2 linked regions of the Caenorhabditis elegans genome follow. The protein of the gene in region 1 interacts with the protein of each later gene in a pairwise test. Each region holds a gene or a part of one and is shown on either strand. Other genes may lie near its edges.

Region 1 (3,336 bases):
ATTATATAAAAATTAGATCTTATTAATAGATCTAATAAAATTAATAGATCTAATATTTGAAAAAAAAAGTAGCCGTAGGGCAATGGCATCTTGTAAGTCTAGGAGGAGACTTTTGAAGGCTTATAAATGAAATATATTCAAATTTGCCTCCTTTCCCTCTTTTTGTACCGCTCACTTTTATTCGGAATTTCACCGAAAAGGTCCTCTGCTTGGGAGAGGAAATGTATAGAACAATTTGCATAACCACTGCCACTTCAATCGGTTCATCGAAGAATTTTGAATGAAAAATGAACTTCAGGAAAAAAAATGACTGTGATTATTATTGCAGAGATTATGCGTTCTATTCGAAAATGTAGGTTAACTTATAAAACAAATCTCATTTAAGGATACCATATTTCAGAAAGCTAGAAGTTTCAGAAACCATTGCTCGCCGAATTGGAATTTTCTTTATATATATTTTTCTCTTTTTTTCAAATGAACCCCACAATTATCTTGTCATTTCGAATATATAGCTTCTTTCTTTTCATGGTTTTAAAGGAATTTCGAAGATTTTAGGGAAAACTTTTTCATTCCCGTCAATAAAGATGAATAAAATAAATTAGGTTTTGAAAAGGGGAGCAGATAACTGGGAAATCAATACACACGGATAATGGACAGAAGACAAAAGTTCGAATCTACTTCTTCTTGGATGCAGCCTCTTCAGCCTCAGCAGCCACACGTTCTGTCTCAACAACCTTCAGGAGAGCCTCGATTTCTTCAGTTGACAATACACGTTGCTGCAGCTCATCCTAAAAAATTAAAATTAAGGACCATCTTCAATTTAAAAAAATGTTATTACTGAAAATAATCTCAGGTGGAAATCACTTACATTAACTTTTTTCATGACTGCAATCTCGATATTTTGTGATCCTGGTGGTACGACCTGAGCCAGCGACTTTACAACCAATTTAAGAGTGGTAGCTTCGTCGACAGTATTTTCCTCGCTGTATTGCTCCTCAAGGTATTCACGCACTGGTTTCTCTCCTCTTCCAGTCGCGTTGGCAACGTACTCGTAGTAAGCTCCAGATGGCTCGGTTTTGAAAAGACGTGGAGTTCCGTCATGATCGAATCCTCCAATGAGCATTGAAATTCCGAATGGGCGACGTCCTGGAGATTGTGTGAAGCGCTGAAAATCAGTAAAAGTTATGCTTGCATAAATAAAATATTTATACCTGCTTCGTGTTTGCAATATATCTGGAGATATAGGCAACGGTAACTGGATCTTCAAGAGTCAACTTGTACGACTGGCACTCGATACGAGCACGATCAACAAGAACACGAGCATCTGCGGACAATCCAGCAAAAGCGAGCATCACATGGTCGTCGATCATATGAATTTTACGGATTGTGCGGTCATCTTGAAGAGCTGGAATTGACTTCTTCTCAACACCGATAACAATGCAATCCTTTCCGCGAACACCGACCTGAAACATTCATAATTATAACTTGAGGTTTTAAAAATAACCGTATTATTTTGAACCATAATTCGGGAAATTTTAGATTTTTAGATAGATAATATCAATCATCTACATTGAATTTTTTGATTTATTTTTAAATATAAAACGATAAATAGATCTAAAATCTTCTTGAATCGGGTGCTTCAATTCTAGCTGATATCATATTCATATGAAAGTGCAACTCATATAATTTTCTGCCAACTGATTTTCATCAGGGGAACCACTCACCGCAGTCGAACCCTTCTTGACAGCTTCCTGGGCATATTCCACTTGGAACAAGTGTCCATCAGGGGAGAAGATAGTGATAGCACGATCGTATCTGTTCATCTGAAAAATTTTAAAATTTGAAATAACTCTGAACCATTTTTAACTTTAAAACGAAAAAATAATTAAAAAATGATTATTTGAAATTGTGCAGTGACAAAAGCGCACAGTTGAAATGAGTGTTACCGTACTTCGCTTACCAACCGAGAACCTGAAACGACACTCCGAAATAACGAATGTGCGTGTTGTTTAGCGACGTTTTGTTTTGAATTTCTGTTCGACTTAAATGTTTTCAATTCAATAATTAGATTTTTCATTTTTCCTTATAATAATCATTTTTAGTAATGCCGTACGCAAATCAACCTAACATCGAGGTTACCGAACTGACAAATGATATAATCAAGTTTGTACTGTGGGACACTGATTTGAGTGTCGCAAATTCACTGAGACGAGTTTTCATGGCAGAAGTGAGTTGTTTCCTGTTTACCATTACTCTTTCTATATTTTTAATTACATTTCAGGTGCCAACCATAGCTATTGATTGGGTTCAAATTGAAACTAACACTTCTGTCCTCCACGACGAATTTATTGCACATCGCATGGGTTTGATTCCGTTCATATCTGATTATCATGTCGAAAAAATGCAATACACCAGAGTAAGATAGGGTTGAATCTTTCACAACTTTTTAAATGTTGGTTTTAGGATTGTGAATGTGCCGAGTTCTGCGATGAGTGTTCGATACCGTTCATTCTGCAGATGAAATGTAAAGATGAAGCTACTTTGGCTGTTACTACCGAGCATCTAATGCCAATGCATAATTTAGACACGGTAAATTTAAAAAAATGCAACTCATTTTTTTTTAATGGAGTGAATTAAATTTCAATAATAATATTAATAACGTTTAAATAAAATCGATGAGCAATCTTATTAGGGTCCGTACTTCACTACATTTGATAAATATTTGAATTGGAATTTTACAGACCGTCCGACCAGCTTGTGGAAAAGCACTACGTGAGCGTGGATCGACCCGTGACGAATTTCACAACAGAGAAGAGATTCTGATTGTAAAATTGCGTAAGGGACAAGAGCTTAACCTAAAAGCCTATGTTAAAAAGGGTTTCGGAAAGGAACATGCAAAATGGAATCCCACCTGTGGAGTTGCATTTGAATATGATCCAGACAATGCTCTCCGACATACAATTTATCCGAATGTTGAGGAATGGCCAAGGTAAGAACTATTATCAGTATTTTGTGAATTTCGTACATTTTTTTTGCAGAAGCGATCATTCATCTTTACCAGAAGACAGCACTGAAAAGGAGGCACCATTCGAGCCGGACAACAAGCCTAACAAGTTCTGGTTCTCTAGTAAGTCACGGTCAGATATTTTGCTTATAATTTTAAATGTTTCAGTCGAAGGAACTGGTGCTCTTCCAGCACAGCGAATCGTGACAATGGGAATCGGAATCTTGAAGAGAAAACTGGAGGAACTAAATATGGCTCTTTCAAATGAACTTCAAGCTCATGCCCAGCAGCAGTAAACTATTTGGATCTCTAATTTATTTACGTTATTATTA
Region 2 (6,296 bases), on another chromosome or scaffold:
GGACCGGAGCACCTGTTGATGCTGCAAAGGAGTTGAAAAAGATTCGAGATGAGGAAAACAGAAACCATGGACGATCTGCTGAAAGGTAATTCTAGTTGTGTTTTTTTTTTCAATTTAAATGAGAGTTTCAGAGATAATGTGTTCATCGGTGCAGTGCTGGTGGGGAAAGGATCTCAGTACGATAAGGTAAGCCTGAAAATTATAAAAAATTAGTTGAAGTTGTTTTTCAGGATCTTGAAAAATTCAAGAGCTTCCGATGCAGGACCTGCAATGAAGTTTCCCAGACGAAGGAGCAGCTCGTGGATCACTTTTCAAACAACCACGCCGGCGAACTTGGGGCGAGAAGGTCACTGCGAATAAAGCAGACCTCGTGTTAAATTTCTTTTTTAATTTATATTCGTTTTTGTTTTAAAATTTAAGCTTTTTTGATACAAATAAATTTTATAGTAAATAAATCTTGTTTCTCCTACCAGCTATCTAACTATTCCCAACAGTGGGTGGCAATAAATACGAGACGCGGCTCTTCTCACGGCGGTATCATAGATGCACAAAGAGCAAAACGATTACGCAACAGACAGCCGGGTCATATTCAGGTCAAACTTGATAGTGCATGAAATCGAGTAGTAAGCGACTCTTTGATATTTTCAGATGCTCCATTTGTTGTTCTTCATGACAGCTGCAGAGTTCCCAGATCGTAAATGTTTAATGTTCTGAAAGAAGGTACATAATCAGTCAAAGGGCGGTCTCATTGTTGCCTTTTATATCAAATCTTTGGAGGACAAATTGTCGATTTCAGCAACATTTTTTGTTAAGAATCTCCAACTTTTAGAATAACTATTTAATAGATCACTCGTTTCTGATAAGAGAAATAATTCTCTGCTACCGTAATCTTTGCTCCACATGAACCTGTCAGTCATAAATGCTCATTCGTATCGTACTCAATTAAACTTTCATCGCTCATTTATTTCCTAATGAACATCGTAATGGAACCTCAATTCCAGATGGGCTCAATGGCCGGTAGACTTACTATTATTTGGGCGAGTAGATCAAATATGAGGTGAGTGATCTATTTTTCAAATTATTTTAAAGGCGGGATCTCATTGAAATTAAATTTAGTGGCTAAAATTCTTCTTTTCTTAATTTTTGGCTAGATGATTTTTTCTAATCTTTTTCAAAATTTTATAATTTTTAAAATATTTATTTAAATAAAAAGATATTTAACAGCAAGTTAACTATTGAACAATAAATTAAATAAAAATCTTCGTAAATCGACAAGTGGAAAGTGCGCTCTATTGAGCTGATCAGTCAGTAAAAATTTTTCAGTGTTAATTTTTTTCTGTTCTTCATTTCTGTTGAGTTTTAACGTTTCTTTTATATTTGTCTTGCTAATTTCAATGCTAAAAATCAATTCTAAAAACGCATATTTTATTAAAGTAAGAAAATCCATCTTCGAATACAGTCTCGGACAGTTTCCTGCACAGACCAATAATTTATTTCCCAACGAACTGGGCGTTTTTGTTTCCTTGCCGACCTGTCTCATTGTAAAAGTGATATGTTTGTCTGAAAATCGACGTGTGGCTATAAATCATTCACAATTCCCTCTCCCGTTCATATCTGATAAATCCCGCCTTCCCAAGTGCTCAATGAGCCGCAGGAGGCGGTGCCGGGTTGCCAGCTCGTTATTTTATTGCTATTCTCATCAAATCTCGAAAATCTTCCTTCAAATTTTGAATTTTTATTACTGTTCACTTTTCTCTATATAAACTGATAATTACTTCCTCGTTTTCAGAATGTCGGTCGATGTCAAGTCGGATTTTTCGGAAAACGAGTCCTCATCAACACCTTCACCAACAACAGTTCCAGCAGATGTCACGTGGCCTCACTATCCAATGATGCCATTCATGCAACCACATCCTCTGAGGCTAGATCTTCGAAATTTTTATTTGGAATCTCAAAATCAACGAAAAATTAAATATTTCCTGTTGGTGTTTCATTACGACCAAGTGAACAAAATTAAATACCATAAATATTTAATAATCCAGCACACACACATGGTTGTAAATCCATGCCCTTTCTCTTATTTATCTCCTTCAAAATATTTGCTAACCATGTATTTATTCTCAAATATTGTCGCCTTTTTGATGATAGAATTTGTTTGAAAGGTTATATGCAAATTTTCGATCTATCCGGAGGGTACGGTAACGCCCCGCCTCCACAGTGTATTGGAAGACATTGCTCCGCCCATTTCCACCGTTGGAATGAAGCGGGAGGGTGTCTAAGAGGTAATAGGCGTGTGTGTGTGTATCAATTGACAAGAACATTTGATTAAGGAGGTGCTATATTTTGAAGTTTTTCTTGTTTTTTTTTTTCATTTTATACTTAATTTTCTTTTTTCAGAGAAAAGATGCTGCAACCAACATTTGATCCACAAATCTATGGAAGGTGGTCACAAATGGGTGATACTGGTTTTTACGTACGTTTTGAATGAATTTCCTTAAGGTTTTTTATTTAAAAATTGAATTTCCAGGGACATCCGGATCTCTATCCATTCGGCCTTCCACAACTCGCTGCCAACGGACAAATTCCAGCAGTAGAAGCCGTTGATGTGAAGCCACCGCTTTCGAATGGAAGTAGCAGTAGTGATAGTGGAATGTATCCATCACCGAGTGATATGATGACACCGTTCCCATCAACATCATCTGGAGCTGCATCTTCTTCAGAGCTTTCAGCAGCTGCTGCTGCTGCAGCCAACTACCAGATGAGAGCTGCCACGTGTTATCAGCAATCTGTTTGGCCGTTTATGGATTATCAACAGGTAATCATATAAAATTGTATTTTAATACCTTTGTTGGCTTTTATAACACCAAAAAACATAATTTCCTAGCGAGACTTTTCAAAAACTGTTCACATTTTTTATGACTCTAAATTGTTGGTACAGTTTTTATTGAATTTTATTTTTTATTGCATATTTTAGGTACGGCTACTCGCGTTTATTCATTGATTTAAGCAGTCTACTTCCAAAAATTACAAAAATTCAGTGCCTATCGGCTTAGAACGCGCCTAAATCAACGAATTAACACGAGATAAATTACCAAAATATGCAATGAAAAATGAAAACTTACTAAAAACTGTATTTCAGCTACTAGACAAGGATAAGTTGATAAAATTTTAGATTTCAGCATTTTTGGCTCTTTTCGATATTTTAAGCTGCCATAAAATTAGGAAATTCTGTCGTTTGTGGTAACTTGTCTAATAAATATCTCTAATAATGTCTAATAAGTCTAATAAAGCAGCCAATTTTTGATCTGTTAGTTCTCCTCCAAGTGAGCTTGTTTTAAAGATAATTTAAGTTTCAGGGATTCTCGTGGAAAATGCCTCTTGGAAACAATCATGGAAAGGATCGAAGATCAAGCAGTGATGGGAAAACATTACCAACGGGACCTGGAACGAATAGTAAGTTTTCAAAAGAGTCTCCCCGTGTGCAAACAATCTCTCTTCAAGTGAAAAAGAAGCCGCTATCAGTCATATTTATCAGTAACTAGGACAAATGAATTGAGTATTTATGATTCCTTTCCCATCAATTTCCCATTTTATTACGAGGGAGTTTGTAATTAAACTTATTTTCAGATGTCCGTGTACGAACAGCTGACAAATACCGTATGGTTTACTCGGATTATCAACGCCTTGAACTGGAAAAAGAATTCCATACATCGCCATTCATAACATCAGATCGCAAGTCCCAATTGTCGACGATGTTAAGCTTGACAGAACGACAAATCAAGATTTGGTTTCAAAATAGGTAGATTCTTTTTTAAACTCACTGCCTAAAATGGGATGATTGATTACTACAAATTTGAAGACACCAAAATAATATCAAGTTTTCTTGATTTGGCACAGAGATGAAAGGCGGTAAAGGTGATGCGGTGTATGAGTTACGGTGCTTACGCAATTCGACCCGTGTGGCAGGTAGCAGGAGAGTCTTTAGCCGTGAAAGAGTGTTAGAGTGACCTCAATTTATATGATGAGAGGTGGCAAATTGGGATTGTTATGGTGTGAGATGTCATATTAATAGATCTGAAAGTTTAATTTGGTTTATTGGAATCATGAGATTAGACTTCAAATATTGACACATATTTCACAACGTCATTTAATTAACAGATGATGTTGCCCTCTGCAAATCTCATTTGAATTCATTCATTCCGCGCCCTTTCGAGCCAAATACGTTGTTTGCTGTTTGCTGTTTGCTTACTCTTTCTCAGGCTTTTCCAGGGGACTCATCACAATGACTGTCACCTCCTACTGTAACCATAGGAAAAAGTACCACCACACTTTCGTTCTTTAAGATTCAGTTCAGTCCACGCGCGCAGTAGAGATAGTTCCAAGGAATTAAAGAGTCGTAAAGTTGTGTAATTGGAGGCCACAGTGTTTGAGACGTGCTGGTGGAGGTGAGGAAGAGATGAAGTTTGTTAATTGGTCCGTTTACGACTTTCTAATTGGTATTACTGTAGAAGAGAGGTGGTCACTGCTTGCATGTGTGGCTATCTACGCGTTCGGGGATTTGGAAATTAACAAGGGAATAGGATATCTAGTGCGAATTTCCAAGTTATTGGGATAAAACACTTCCCGTAAAGTGCTACTGTTAATCTCCTTCACTCGCATGTTAAAGGGAGAGTATCGTTTGTAGGTTTGCAAAAAAATATACTCAAAATGCCCCAAATTTCAAGTTTTTGCCTTTATTTAATTAGGTGAGGTTCTAGCTCAATGAAAGAGTCTACAGAAATGATAAAGCAAGGGTTTCTGACCAGCTCGCAGAGATATACCAATTATCTGCTCAACAGTCGTTTTTTTTGTTGTCTGTTGCCTTGTTTGACAATATTAGTGCGCATCGAAAGATTTACGAGGGGAATAGAAACGTCGTCGGCAGAGATTCCCAGAGTGCTGTAAAATGGAAATCAATGTGTGTGTCCCTTTCCTGTAGCGTCCCAATCCAAACAGACATACATACTGTGTTGGACAGACGTGACCGCCGTTTTCCTGGGAAGAGGTAACATACGGACGAACCATACCGGTCATTGTATTCATTAAAAGAAAGGGAATATAAACCAAAAGATTGATGTTCCCTATCCCTTTTCTTTGAAAAGCGTATTTTTTTTGAATTCACCACTGGGACGGCATCTTTTTGATCTCAATATATTCTGATAAATTGTTAATTTCCGTAATAATACTGTAATATTTTTAATTGCAGGCGTGCAAAGGATCGTCGTGACAAACAGAAGATTCGGCTATAAGTACTCATCTACTTACAAAGAAAATGTACAAAAATTCTGGGAATTTTCATATTTTTCTAGAATATTGTACACATTTATTATATTTTTACATTTCTCTCGCTTGAATACGGTTAAATTCACACTTTTATATAATTTCTTCCTGTCCCATCTCCCATTCTCTCACATCAGAATATTCTAATCATCACTGCCCTTAACATATATATATATATATTTATAACTTTCCGATCATTCCTTCTGCTTTGTAAACTAATCCAATCATTCTCTAATGAATTATTCCCTAATATAGAGCTTCTTTATTTATTGTGATTTCTTGTTTCTTACCCTTCTCAAGGTTTAGGAAAAAGTTTAGGTCCCCATTTGTTATGTATTTACTTCCCACTCTGAACGGATCCATTTTGAACATGTTTTCTATTTTTTGGAAAAGTTTAGAGAATTCTTTGCTTTTCTCACATATCTTGATTGCATATTTTTTATAACAAAACAATGAAACAATTTTGAAGAATTTACAGCAGAAATTGATGAGATTAACTATCCAGTTTTTTGAAATGTATTAAATCGACGGCAATATCCACGGCCTTTTGTTTATGGAATTTGTAAGTCGCTGGTAGTTGCCACCGCATTTCTGCACAACATTCTGCCTGAAACTCAATATTTTTTTTTCTAATTTTAGAATAATTTAAAAACAAACCCCAACTCCGTCCCATTTCTTTGCATTTTTTAGAATATAATCTCTAGTTGATGATTTATGAAGTGAAAATACACTTCCACCAGGCCGAACCATTTGAAGACCGATTTGGACAAATTGCATATCGATTCCTGAGAAATTTAAGATATTGTAACGTTTTAGGAGATCGTTGGATATTTACCTGCATTATTTTTTGTTCCAAATGGAGGATTAATGACAGCCACGTCGAATGTGCCACGTGGAAGATCGGATTCCGGGTCGAGAATGTCGGCTTGTAGAAGCTCGCATCTGGAAGAATTGAAAGTTTTTAATTTTTTATTATT

The links. Proteins that work in one complex are often made in the same cells at the same time.
Region 2: the proteins of pas-4 (region 1) and pal-1 interact in a two-hybrid assay, tested with the Caenorhabditis elegans proteins (one study listed by BioGRID).

The regions. Positions count from the first base shown.
Region 1 is NC_003279.8:8,726,665-8,730,000, forward strand, and holds pas-4 (Proteasome subunit alpha type-7), read right to left. Parts: upstream 1,824-3,336; coding exon 1,725-1,823; intron 1,464-1,724; coding exon 1,212-1,463; intron 1,166-1,211; coding exon 869-1,165; intron 789-868; coding exon 675-788; 3' UTR 554-674; downstream 1-553. Other genes in the region: rpb-3 (DNA-directed RNA polymerase RpoA/D/Rpb3-type domain-containing protein), read left to right, coding at 2,105-2,227, 2,282-2,416, 2,464-2,589, 2,742-2,989, 3,039-3,127, 3,173-3,300. UniProt on the Caenorhabditis elegans protein: The proteasome is a multicatalytic proteinase complex which is characterized by its ability to cleave peptides with Arg, Phe, Tyr, Leu, and Glu adjacent to the leaving group at neutral or slightly basic pH.
Region 2 is NC_003281.10:4,804,203-4,810,498, reverse strand, and holds pal-1 (Homeobox protein pal-1), read left to right. Parts: upstream 1-1,789; 5' UTR 1,790-1,790; coding exon 1,791-1,921; intron 1,922-2,397; coding exon 2,398-2,473; intron 2,474-2,527; coding exon 2,528-2,815; intron 2,816-3,139; exon of another isoform or gene 3,140-3,288; intron 3,289-3,350; coding exon 3,351-3,453; intron 3,454-3,627; coding exon 3,628-3,799; intron 3,800-5,245; coding exon 5,246-5,288; 3' UTR 5,289-5,790; downstream 5,791-6,296. Other genes in the region: C38D4.7 (C2H2-type domain-containing protein), read left to right, coding at 1-85, 132-186, 231-377; rRNA N(6)-adenosine-methyltransferase metl-5, read right to left, coding at 5,813-5,926, 5,977-6,104, 6,155-6,261. UniProt on the Caenorhabditis elegans protein: Transcriptional activator. Interacts with promoter regions for tbx-8.9, tbx-9, elt-1, hnd-1, scrt-1, and vab-7 genes. Binds the sequence ATTTATGAC. Binds to the enhancer region of the hlh-1 gene promoter during embryonic body wall muscle development.